2 linked regions of the Caenorhabditis elegans genome follow. The protein of the gene in region 1 purifies or fractionates together with the protein of each later gene. This does not show direct contact. Each region holds a gene or a part of one and is shown on either strand. Other genes may lie near its edges.

The links.
Region 2: the proteins of ccf-1 (region 1) and ccr-4 purify together in Caenorhabditis elegans (affinity purification with western blotting, with the first as the bait; one study listed by BioGRID). This does not show direct contact.

The regions. Positions count from the first base shown.
Region 1 is NC_003281.10:11,918,392-11,924,355, reverse strand, and holds ccf-1 (CCR4-NOT transcription complex subunit 7), read left to right. Parts: upstream 1-4,118; 5' UTR 4,119-4,135; coding exon 4,136-4,264; intron 4,265-4,311; coding exon 4,312-4,596; intron 4,597-4,648; coding exon 4,649-5,167; 3' UTR 5,168-5,528; downstream 5,529-5,964. Other genes in the region: nft-1 (Nitrilase homolog), read right to left, coding at 419-466; Y56A3A.22 (DUF1279 domain-containing protein), read right to left, coding at 669-834, 1,470-1,630, 2,195-2,659; trap-4 (Translocon-associated protein subunit delta), read right to left, coding at 2,950-3,054, 3,107-3,435, 3,570-3,615; znf-593 (Zinc finger protein 593 homolog), read left to right, coding at 5,643-5,768. UniProt on the Caenorhabditis elegans protein: Catalytic component of the CCR4-NOT complex which is one of the major cellular mRNA deadenylases and is linked to various cellular processes including bulk mRNA degradation, miRNA-mediated repression, translational repression during translational initiation and general transcription regulation.
Region 2 is NC_003282.8:12,363,068-12,368,312, forward strand, and holds the start of ccr-4 (poly(A)-specific ribonuclease), read left to right. Parts: upstream 1-2,206; 5' UTR 2,207-2,477; coding exon 2,478-3,273; intron 3,274-5,245.

The sequences.
Region 1 (5,964 bases):
TCATTTTCGACAAATTGCCGGTTTGTCGATTTGCCGGAAATGTTCAAAAGCGGCAACTTGCCAATTTGCCGGAATTTTTTAGTTCCGGCAATTTGTGAATTTGCCAGAAATTTTCATTGCCGCCAAATTGCCGGTTTGCTGATTTGCCAGAAATTTTAATTTCCAGCAATTTGCCAATTTGCCGGAAATGTTCAAAAGCGGCAAATTACCTGCAGGTCTCACCACGAAAATTTTTGCTACATGTTTTTTTAATAATGCGCCTTTAAAGAGTGGTACTGTAGCTTCAAACTTTCGGAATTTTTTAAATCGATTTTTCATAGTTTTTTTCAAAACAACTCGATTAAAAAAAAAATTTTTTTTCTAATTTGTCGTGTCGAGACCCAGAAATTTCTGGAAAAAAAACCCCCGAAAATCTTACAAAATGCCGTCCAGTCGCCATTGTTCGCCGAAAAACTGTGCTCAGCATGCGGCTGTATAACAAGGAAATCAATTGAAAATTAATTTTCTAGTGTTTTTTGGCAATAATAATTAGGGAAAATGACCAGATTTATGAATAAAAAGTTAAAGCCAAATTTTTCGGGGGGAAAAATCAATTTATACACACTCGGAAGCACCCTAACAGAAGAAAAAACAGTCTAAAAAACACTGAAAAATAATATCTAATTAGATTAATCATCCTTCTTTTTATTATTATTATTATCATGGAGTTTCGTCGTCGTCGGCTCATTGAGCTTCTCATGCTCCTTCTGTAATCGTTGAACTTGTCCAATATGAGCAGTTGTCGCGTGAACACTGTTCTTACGGCTCACACTTCGAACTCCAAGGTGGCGATAGCTGGAAAATATGGAAAATTTTGGGGGTTTTTCAGTGAAAAATAGCCCGAAAAATTGGATTTTTAGCCAAAATCTTCAATTTCTGTCACTTTTTCCTTGAATTTTACTGATTTTTGTGCCAATTTCGATCAAAATAGAGCCTATATAGGCTTAAAAACGCGTAAAAACTACCAAAATCGAGCTTTAAAGCAGCGCCGCACAGAAAAAGATGCGGAGCGTATTTTTGCAACCCTGCGGCACGATTTTTTCCTCCTTTTTGAAAAATTGATCTTTTCCAATAAAATTTCGATTTCACTAGTTTTATTCACTTTTTTCGAAAAATGTGAATAAAACTAGTAAAATCGAAATTTTATTGAAAAAAAAAACCTTTTTTTAAAAATGAGGAAAAAACCGTGCCGCAGGGTTGCGAAATTACGCTCCGCCTCTTTTTCTGTGCGATGCTGCTTTAGGGCTCGATTTTGGTCATTTTTACGCGTTTTTAGGATTATTAAGGCTCTATTTCGACCAAAATTGGCATAAAATCGGTGAAATTCGACATGGAAATTTTGCCAAAATTGGGAATTTTAGAAGAATTTAGCCACAAAAATGTGTTTTTTTTGTCAAAAAATGGATTTTTCCCCTAAAAAAAATGCTCACCGATACCAGCGTCGTCCGTAATGTGCCTTATTCAGCTCATATTCACTTCGGACCTTGTACTCGACTTCTCGAGCGGTCTTCAGTTTTCCCAATCTTCGGAGAGTCCAGAAAGTGGCTTGAATGAGCAAAAGTGTCGTCATGTAGCGGAATGGCATTGCGATCTGAAAATTTAAATTTTTATTATTACACATACGCGAAAAAATACATTTTTTTGGAAAAAAAAATTATTTTTCTGGTTAAATTCTGCTAAAATTCGTAATTTTTTGGCAACATTTCCACGTCTTTTGTAGTATTACATATACAAAAATACTGTAATTGGTCTCGACACGATAACATTTTTTCTTCAATGTAAAAAAGATGTGCGCCTTTAAAGATTACTGTAGTTTTACTTGTTGTAATTTTCTTTGTTCTTCGTGAGAAATATTAAAAAATCGATGAAACTCCACAAAGTTTGAAACTACAGTACTCTTTAAAGGCGCACACCTTTTTAACATTGAAGAATTTCGCGTCTGTGTAATAACCAGGGCTTCCCTTTTTGTTCCTTTTTTCTTTAAAAAATTAGTTTTTTCAATAAAATTGATTTCTTTACAAAACATGGTTTTTGTCTAAAAAATCGTGCTTTTTATACAAAAAAATTGGGTTTCTTCCGAGAAAATCTGTGTTTTTTCCAAACAAATTGTTATTTAATTAAAGTTTTCGAAAAAACATCTGAAAATCCTCCGAACCTTGTACAAAATCAGCGAAACCACCACAACTCCGGCGGTTTCGGGCGTATTTTTGACCTTTTCAACGATAGCATCCGGCATATGAAGCCATTCGAGCAATGAAATCACATCAACTCCACTTTTAACCACCAAATACAATGCGATAAACCATGCTGTACACGATGCCGCGTGAGCCGGCACAGCGATATACCAATATCTTTTAAAATAATATTTCACTTTTGCGAACAACGTTTTCGGCGCTTCTTCCGCCTTCATTTGCTCGATTTTCGCCGTTTTTGCGAGTTTTTGCTCCTCAGACATTGTCATTCTGAACATTTTCCATTTTTGATCGTCTGGCTTCTTCGGAGTGGGCTCTTTCTCGTGGAGTTGTCGACTTGTGTGCAGGAATCGTGAGCTTGATGGGGTCTGGAATTGAGCACAACAGATGCTCCGCGAGCATCGGATTATGGATCGAGCCAAAAGCATTTTGCCTGAATGAAAATTTTGGCCTAAAGGGGGTCTTAAAATTATCTAAAGTAAGTTTCCCGGGGATTTACACTCTCAACTCTTTAAACTTTTTTTTACGTCAGTCTAGCAATTAAATTTCAATTTATGGCTATTTGGGGGCTACTGAACTTATAAATACACGAATGGGGTGGAAAAAGGGGCAAAAATCAATAAATTACATTTTGTATATATAAATAAAAACAAAAAGAACAAAAACCCAGCACGCAAACGTGCGTTGACCAGTAATTTGGGGATAAAAACAATGATATTTAGTGGACAAGTTCGGTCTTTTGACGAATGGCGTAGTAAAGGCCAATGACGACGATGATGACGGCGACAGTCTCGGAAGAGATTGGAGACTTCGTGGCGAGACCCTGCAAAAAATGATTTTTAAAGATAATTATGTGAAAATGATGCAATTCTCACCCCATGGCTTTGTTGAACGGTGAAGAGTGGCTTGGTGACAGGGTTCTTGGCGTATTGAGCGGCTCCCTCCTCGTCGAAAATGTTAATATTAAAGGTTTGAGCTCCGGCGTCCTTGTGCTCAAGAGTCCATGAGACTTGGAACTTGGCGGTCTCGTCGGAAATCGAGACTGGGATAAGGCGACCGTTTACTTCAGCAGTGTATTGGATATTCTTCGGGTTGTTGCTGCATTGAAGTGTGAACTCGGTGATGAAGGTGGTTTTGTAGTGGAAGAATCCGTCGGTAGTGGAGAATGACGAGGCCGAGTACTTTGGCGACTCGCACTTGGCGCCTGGAATATTTATTGTTTTATTTGTATTAAATGTTAACAATCTACGCTTAAAATTCGAAAAATCGAGCCTTATTTTTATACAAGCCACACATTTGAATAATTTGTGTGGGAATTTATTAATTTTTCCAACTTACAAAGAGCGGAAGCGACAAGGCAAAGGGCGACGGCGATCTTCAGCATTATTACCTGCAAAAAAGTAATTAAATTCGTGTTTTGAAGAATTATCTTGTAAAATGAGTAAAATAGGCATTCTATACGTATTTTACTCGAATTTGCATCATTTTAACGCACAAAATTCATGTTTTTAGGGTAAAAATCAAGAAAATAAGTGAAAAATTCATTAAAAACACATTTTAATTCACTAAAACGATGTTTTCTCGACAGTTTCACGTAAAACAAACTCACTTGGCAGCTAGCCAGTTTGCAGTTCTCTCCCGTTCGCTGCGAGACCCACACCGCTGGGAAACTCCATGCGCCTTTAATGCCGATCCAAAATCGATCGTTCAAGAACTTCTTTTGCGCTTCAAAACTTTTGCAAACTGACTTTTTCTCCCGTTTTTCTGCTTTAAAAGTTTGCGGAAAAATTATTTTATTTATTTTATAAGCTATTTTCGATTTCTGTCCCATAAATTCGTTTAAAAAAATCGAAAATAAAAGCGTTCACTCTAAAACGAAAATTCTAGTTCCAGATATCATAAAAATGGCTTCTAGTAGCAGTGGTGGAGCAGGTGGAGCAGGTGGAGCAAGTGGAGCACCAGAAGTCAAGATTCACAACGTATATATGTCAAACGTGGAGGAGGAATTCGCGAGGATTCGAGGATTCGTCGAGGTACAGCCGATCGTTTGAATATTTTTAAAAAATCGGTTTTTTTTCAGGATTATCCCTACGTGGCAATGGACACAGAATTTCCCGGAGTTGTGGCGACACCGTTGGGCACATTTCGAAGCAAGGAAGATTTCAATTATCAGCAAGTGTTCTGTAATGTGAATATGCTGAAATTAATACAAGTGGGCTTTGCAATGGTCAATGACAAAGGAGAGCTACCACCGACTGGCGATGTTTGGCAGTTCAATTTCAATTTCTCCTTCGCTGAAGACATGTTCTCGCATGAGAGTGTCGAAATGCTCCGGCAAGCCGGAATAGACTTCACATTGCTGCAGGTTTTTTTAATATTGATTTTCCAATATTTTAATAATAATTTCTTTCTTCCAGAACAATGGAATACCGACAGCAGTATTCGGAGAACTTTTGACGACGTCAGGCCTCATCACTGATCCACGGATCACATGGCTCACGTTCTCTTCCGGCTACGACTTTGGATATTTGTTGAAAAGCATCACACTTGGAGATCTGCCTAAGGAAGAGTCAACGTTCTTCATGTGCCACAAAACTCTCTTCCCAACCAGCTTCGACATCAAAATCCTGCTCCGAACTCCAAATTGCGCGTCTGCAAAGCTGAAAGGAGGACTTCAAGAGGTCGCCGATCAGCTGGACGTGAAACGACAAGGAGTTCGCCATCAAGCTGGATCCGACGCACTGCTGACCGCCGCCACGTTTTTCAAGATCAAAAAGCAGTTTTTCGGAGACAACTGGAACCAGATTGCTCCATTGATCTGTGGACATATGTTTGGTCTTGGATCTTCGCTTTCGCTGTTCCATAGCTCCGGATCAACTTCTCGACTAGGCGATGAGACACCACAAGGCCTAATCGGAGTTCCACAACAAGCCTGAACAGATCTCTTTCCCGTCATTTTTCATGTGTCTATTTCTTTTATTTTTTTCTTCCTTTTTCCACCAAAAACCGTCTACACTGTTATTGTAAATTAGCTGTCTGTTTCGTGCCCTTCCCCATCTCTCACCCAAGTTTTTTGTGTTTTCACGCGCCCTATAATTTGTCTTTGTTATTATATCTCCCTATACTTGATGACTATACGCTTAGTTGTTTATAGGTGATCATTACTCTGAAAGTTCGATCTTTTTTATTTGTAATTTTCAGCAGCAGTAGAAGCTGGGCGAGATCGGGCGCCCCGTGTATCTTTTTATTTTCATTTTCCCTCCCCTATGCCCAAAAAAATAAAAATTTTCGAAATCTACTCGCGGAAACTTTAAATTTTCAACTAAAATAAGGGTTTTTGAGCCTGAAATTATCTTTTTCAGCTGTTTTGTCTAGATTCAAAGCTTAACAAAAGTAGTATTTCAGCAAAAAATGCCGAGCGGTGGACAGAGGAAGCACACGATTTCGAACAAGACACGTAAACGTCCCGGAAAGGATTTGGATCAAATCCATGAGGATTTGAAGCCTGAAAAGGCCGCCAAGCTTCTCCAGCAAGAGGTTTTTCAGATTTATTACTCGAAATAAACCCTTAGAATTCGCAACACTGCCGCACGGTTGTATTTTAACTGCTTTTCTACAATTTCGCGTTAATTTTATCAGGAAATCTGGCAAATAATCAAATTTTGCTGGAAAAAATGCTAAAAACTCGTAAAATAAAACTGTGCGGTGAAGTTGCAAAACTGCGTGCCGCGGC
Region 2 (5,245 bases), on another chromosome or scaffold:
CGGAGTACAAGGACAAACAAGGCGGAGGAGCTGGCCAGCCACTCACAAAGTCTGAAAACAACGATGGAAAAAAGACGTTAACCAATGGAATGAGTCGAGTACATCGAGTGTTAACTGAAGACGAAATTGCCAGTGGGAGATCAACACGGTGGACAGAACTTGAAATACACGGTAATCATTTTTGAAAATTGTTTCAATTTTTATTCGAGATATTTCCAGGTCGTGTGAAGAATCTATCACCGTCACTGTGGCAGTTGACACATCTTTCAGCTCTTTTTCTTAACAACAATGGACTGACACGGTTACCACCGGAGATTGCTCAGGTATCCGATTAGTGTGGAAATTATCTCCGGCGGTGGCACTTATTTTCATCGATTCTACAAAATGATCTAAACTTTGATGCTCCAACATTTTTCATTCAAAATTAGTGTCAAAAGATAGAAAATCATTCAGTTTATCTGAAAATAATATTTATTTCACCTGAAACATTTATGAAAATGCTCAAGAATTACCTGAAAGTGGCAAATTACCGGAAAAAAATTCGATGAATCGATACGACCATTTTGATTAATTTCCTGAATGTTCCAGCAGAAATTTTTTTTTTCAGAAAAAAATTTTTTTTTTTAAATATTTTGACACTAATTTCAAATAAAAATTGTTGGAGAACATGGGGCAGTAGGACATTTTGTAGAATTGCAAAAAAAAAGATTACCAAAAAACAAATCAGCATAATAAATATTATATTCTTTTATTCTTCATCTAAAATCTTCTTGAAAAATCCAATTTCATACCAAAAACCCATTTTTCAGTTGACAAATCTGACAATGCTCGACATATCGAACAACAAGCTCCGCTCACTTCCCACAGAACTTGGTGATATGATCAGTCTTTGTCATCTGTACCTGAACAATAATCAACTCCGTGTGCTGCCCTATGAGCTGGGAAAGCTTTTCCGGATTCAGACGCTCGGTCTGCAAGGAAATCCTTTGTCGCCGGAAATCAGCAAGATCTATCACGAGACCAACGGTGCGCAAAAGATATTGCAATTTCTACTCGATCACCTGACTAGTAAGTTTACTTTTTTACTTTTTGCTGTCAAAAAATAAGCGTTCGGTCTAGTGTTTGGAGCATAAAAACAAGATGCATCGTTCATCAAAGATTCCCGACGTCGACCTAGAATATATGATTTGAATTGACGTGCTTTTCCCTCCTGAATGTCTGACACATCTCAACTTTCACTTGTATCCCCCGAATGACGTAATAGTAGATAATTCTGCATTTCTTATAGTTTATTCACAATTCCCTCACTTGATTAGACAGAGAGGATGTTCGTTATCACTATTATCCGTGTTAGTTTGATTTCCCATGCCACAAACTACTTTCTCTTTCGGGGCATGTTTCTTCTTTCAAGTTGTGAAAGTGGTCATGAAAAAAGCATTGCCATACCAATACTTGAAGGGTGTTCGTGTTCATAATCGTAATCGAATCAGTAGAAAAAGTAACAGTGTAAACCGAGAAAATGGTGTTGAAAAATAATGCAGACAAGTTTTTAACTGGTTTCGTATATTTAAAAAATAGGTTCACAATATCATATAGTACGAAAACCAGTAGGAAACAAAATTGTAATAGGCTCGTAATAATTTATTATGCAGTACTATATGATTTTTGTGACACTACCAACGAAATGGCTCATATTTCCAAGAGAAAAAAGTGTTACCTGAAAATTAGAAGAACGAAACTAATTTTCATTAAAATGAAATAACTTACTCTAATAGTAAGTAATTCATTTTTTCATTCCGAAGAACACTTATCTCTTAAAACCTCCACGCAAATCTCGACATATCATGTTTAATGTGCCGGTGTGTCCAGCCATTCATCCAGTGTACATGAAAACGTTCTAAAAAAGAAGCGGCACACGAGTGTGAGAGATAAACCATAGAGACGCAGCAATGGTGGCGCAGTGACCACCACCGCCATACGTATACACGGTTTTTAGTTCGACGCTCGTCTGCGACTCATCGTCTCTAGCACTATTTAGCTCTTCGCTTATGATCATCTGTTCTTCTTACGTCCCCCGAGTCCTCCTCATATTCGCCTCGTTTTTTTCTACACGGCTTCTTCTTTCTCTGCCGTTCGTCGTTGCGAGGAAGGATCGAACAGTCTCCGCCCATTTCGGAAAAGTGTCTTCCCTCGTTGTATACGCCCTCCCCTTCGTGTGTTTGTGTCTCTGCAGCAGCCGGCGGCAGAAGCACATTGCATGAGTTTTAAACGGGAACAAGGCTCCGCCCTGACTAGCTTCCCATTTTGAGAGTATTCCCCCATTCTGCCTTTCACCAACGTCCTTTTCTTTTTACATCATATATTCCACCTGCTTTCCCTTTTCTTACTCCATTTCTCTTTTTTCATCCTTTAAACGTGCACCAACTCTGGCCATCCAAACTTACTATTCGAAAATGTACTGAAGTTCCCTCTGAAATATGGCCGACAGTGGAGACGGCGAATCGCCATCGAGAAGAAACTCCAGTGGAAAAAGATTTGTGAGACGAGCCAGAAGATGGGCTGAGCTGCTACAAAAACGACAAGGACGTCGAAATTGTGAGGAGAGCGAAAATCTATCAGCTCCGATAGATGCAAATTTTCAACAAGCTCATAAACATACAGCATTCAATAATCCATCGTCGCATAATCGAAATGGAATCAAGGATCAGAAGTATAGACCACCAGAGCCACCGCATGTTTATGATTATGTTGAAATGGCTGCTTTAGGAAGTGGTGTGATGGTTGTAGATGATGATCTTAATTATGAATTTCTGACACATGATGAATCCCGTCAAAAACAACATTTGGGACACACTCGAAGCTTCCCAATTACTATACTTCAATCAAGAAAACATGAGATTTCATCTGGATTATCACCAGCTTACGGATACAATACTCATCAAACTTGCCAACGAACCATATCGGATGCATACCATTATCAGGCTTATCATCAACCATCATATTCCAATCACCACACTTCTTGGTACGAGTATCAACAACCGTCAAATGCATCATTTATGAAACCGGTAGACAGTGCTCTCACACTGATAACCAATGATCTCTCTATGGCAAGTATCTCGGAAGCATCTACAACATCGCCGAGTTCGATCTCGAATAATTCTGAAGAAGATGTTTCACCACACTTTTTGAAAATGTCTTCTTCATTTCCAAAATCTTCAAGCTTCCCCTATCGAACAATGTCTGAGTCCCAATGTTTTCCATTCAATTTTCATGGTAAGTACGTGTTCATTCCCAAAGTTCAATAGGATTCAGCTAGTGAAAGTTGTATTCACTTGAGACAAATTTTACTACTATCTCACCACAATATTCATAAAGCTTAATCTTCTCTTCCTTCTGTTTCTTTTCTCCGATAGTTTTTTTCCAGATTGCTATCGTAAACATGTTCTGTTTTCACTTATCTATAGACAGTTCACTTAGATTGGCGGTTTTTTAGCTTTGACAAGCGTGACTGAAATAAAATTGTTACGAGCAATTGTGATTATAAAATATTCAGGTTGAATCTTGAGTTTGTTGGATTCCTAATTAAATTGTAAAATTTTAATCTCGAAATTTCCATCTATTCGATCTCTCTCCATATGTCTTCTACCTGAATCTCAGCTTCAGCTTCATCTTTTTCGCCGTTATCTCTGCGCATCTTTGGCATTGAAAAGTACGATCGGTCGATGGTGATTACGCCATATTTTGACGTAAGAGTGAGAGAGAAAGAGAAGCGGACGACAAAGAAGATATGGGGCGAACGTGTACGTTTATTTGTAGCATAATGGCAGGAAAAGGATGGCAATGGCAACGGTGTGTGTGTGTATGAGTGTGGACATCACGGCTTGACGGTAGTGATGGTGTGTGTATGTCTTAAGCGTTAACAAGTTTTTGTCGCCATTTTCGGACGGTGTCACATCCTTCCACATCTTCAGTGTGAATATGGTTGGCAGTTTAGAGACATTGGAAAGTCGGATTGTTTTGGTATCACTGATTGCGCGAGGACTGGCAGGAAGTGATATTAGAATGGATAAGCATTGACCAGGTGATTTGTGAGACACTGGAAGCTGTTTTCTGAGATAATTAGGAAAAATCTGATAGAAATGTTTGCAATGTTTCTTGATTTTCTCCGAAACAATAATCTAATAAATCGCAGTTTTTCTAATTACGGAGCACAGACATGTTCGAAGCATCGAAACAATGCACAAAAACGTGTTATTTACAAATGATCCTTTCACTCTCTCTTGAAGTGTGTTCTTCTCCCCCTTCGGATCACCAGCTCACCACCATCTATCCCAACAGGCAAAGAGAACACACCGTGTTTTGACGACGGTGAGAAGAGTGTTTTGGGTTGCCCTCCGGTGCACGATATGTTTACACACGGTTTCGAGCCGTCCGAGTCGATGGATGGATGAGGCCACCGGGTGGTGACGGCGCGTAGAACAAATTGGTCGTTTGAACATGGCGCTTGTGTCTGGGAATTTTTGTATGGAAAGATCAAATATAGAGCCTCTAATTTTCCACTTTGCAAAAACCTGAATATGAACAAAAAGAAACTAGTGAGGGATTTCAAATTACTGTAAAAAGTCAACTCCTCTTTTGATTATCCATATCCTCAGTTCATTTTGGATTTCCGTCGGTTTAGAAAACTGAAAATGAGAATAGAAAAAGATGAATAGGGAGAGTGCACTTGACACATTTCAATATTGGCGGCCTCTTCATCTTCAGTCCCGTTGATCGAACAATAAATTAAAATGGCACAGATGGTTATGCTGGTAATAAGTGTTTGAAAGAATTGAATAAGGGAAATCAGATAAAGAAGTTTTGAGTTCATAGTTTAGAGAAGCATTATTCATCCAAGTTTCAAGTTTCATAGAACCAATAAAAAATCACAATATGGCCGATATAATACTAGTGACCGCCCTTTTCACTTCTCCCGTATGTATCTTCGATGAATCCGCTCAACTAGTCATATTGTTTTTTTTTTGTCGCTTTCTGTGAGCGGTCATGAATAATTGCGAGTCGTTCATCGTCTTCTTCTTCTTTTTTTATATTCTTTCTCTTTTTCTACGCTTCGTTCTTTGTCACGAACGTTTACATAAAGAGACAGGGGGACGACGACATCTCTGAACGTATAATATTTGCCTCAAAAAGGAAATCGAGTGGGATTGAACACAGTAAAGCCCTAGGATGTCTAGTTAGGCCATCA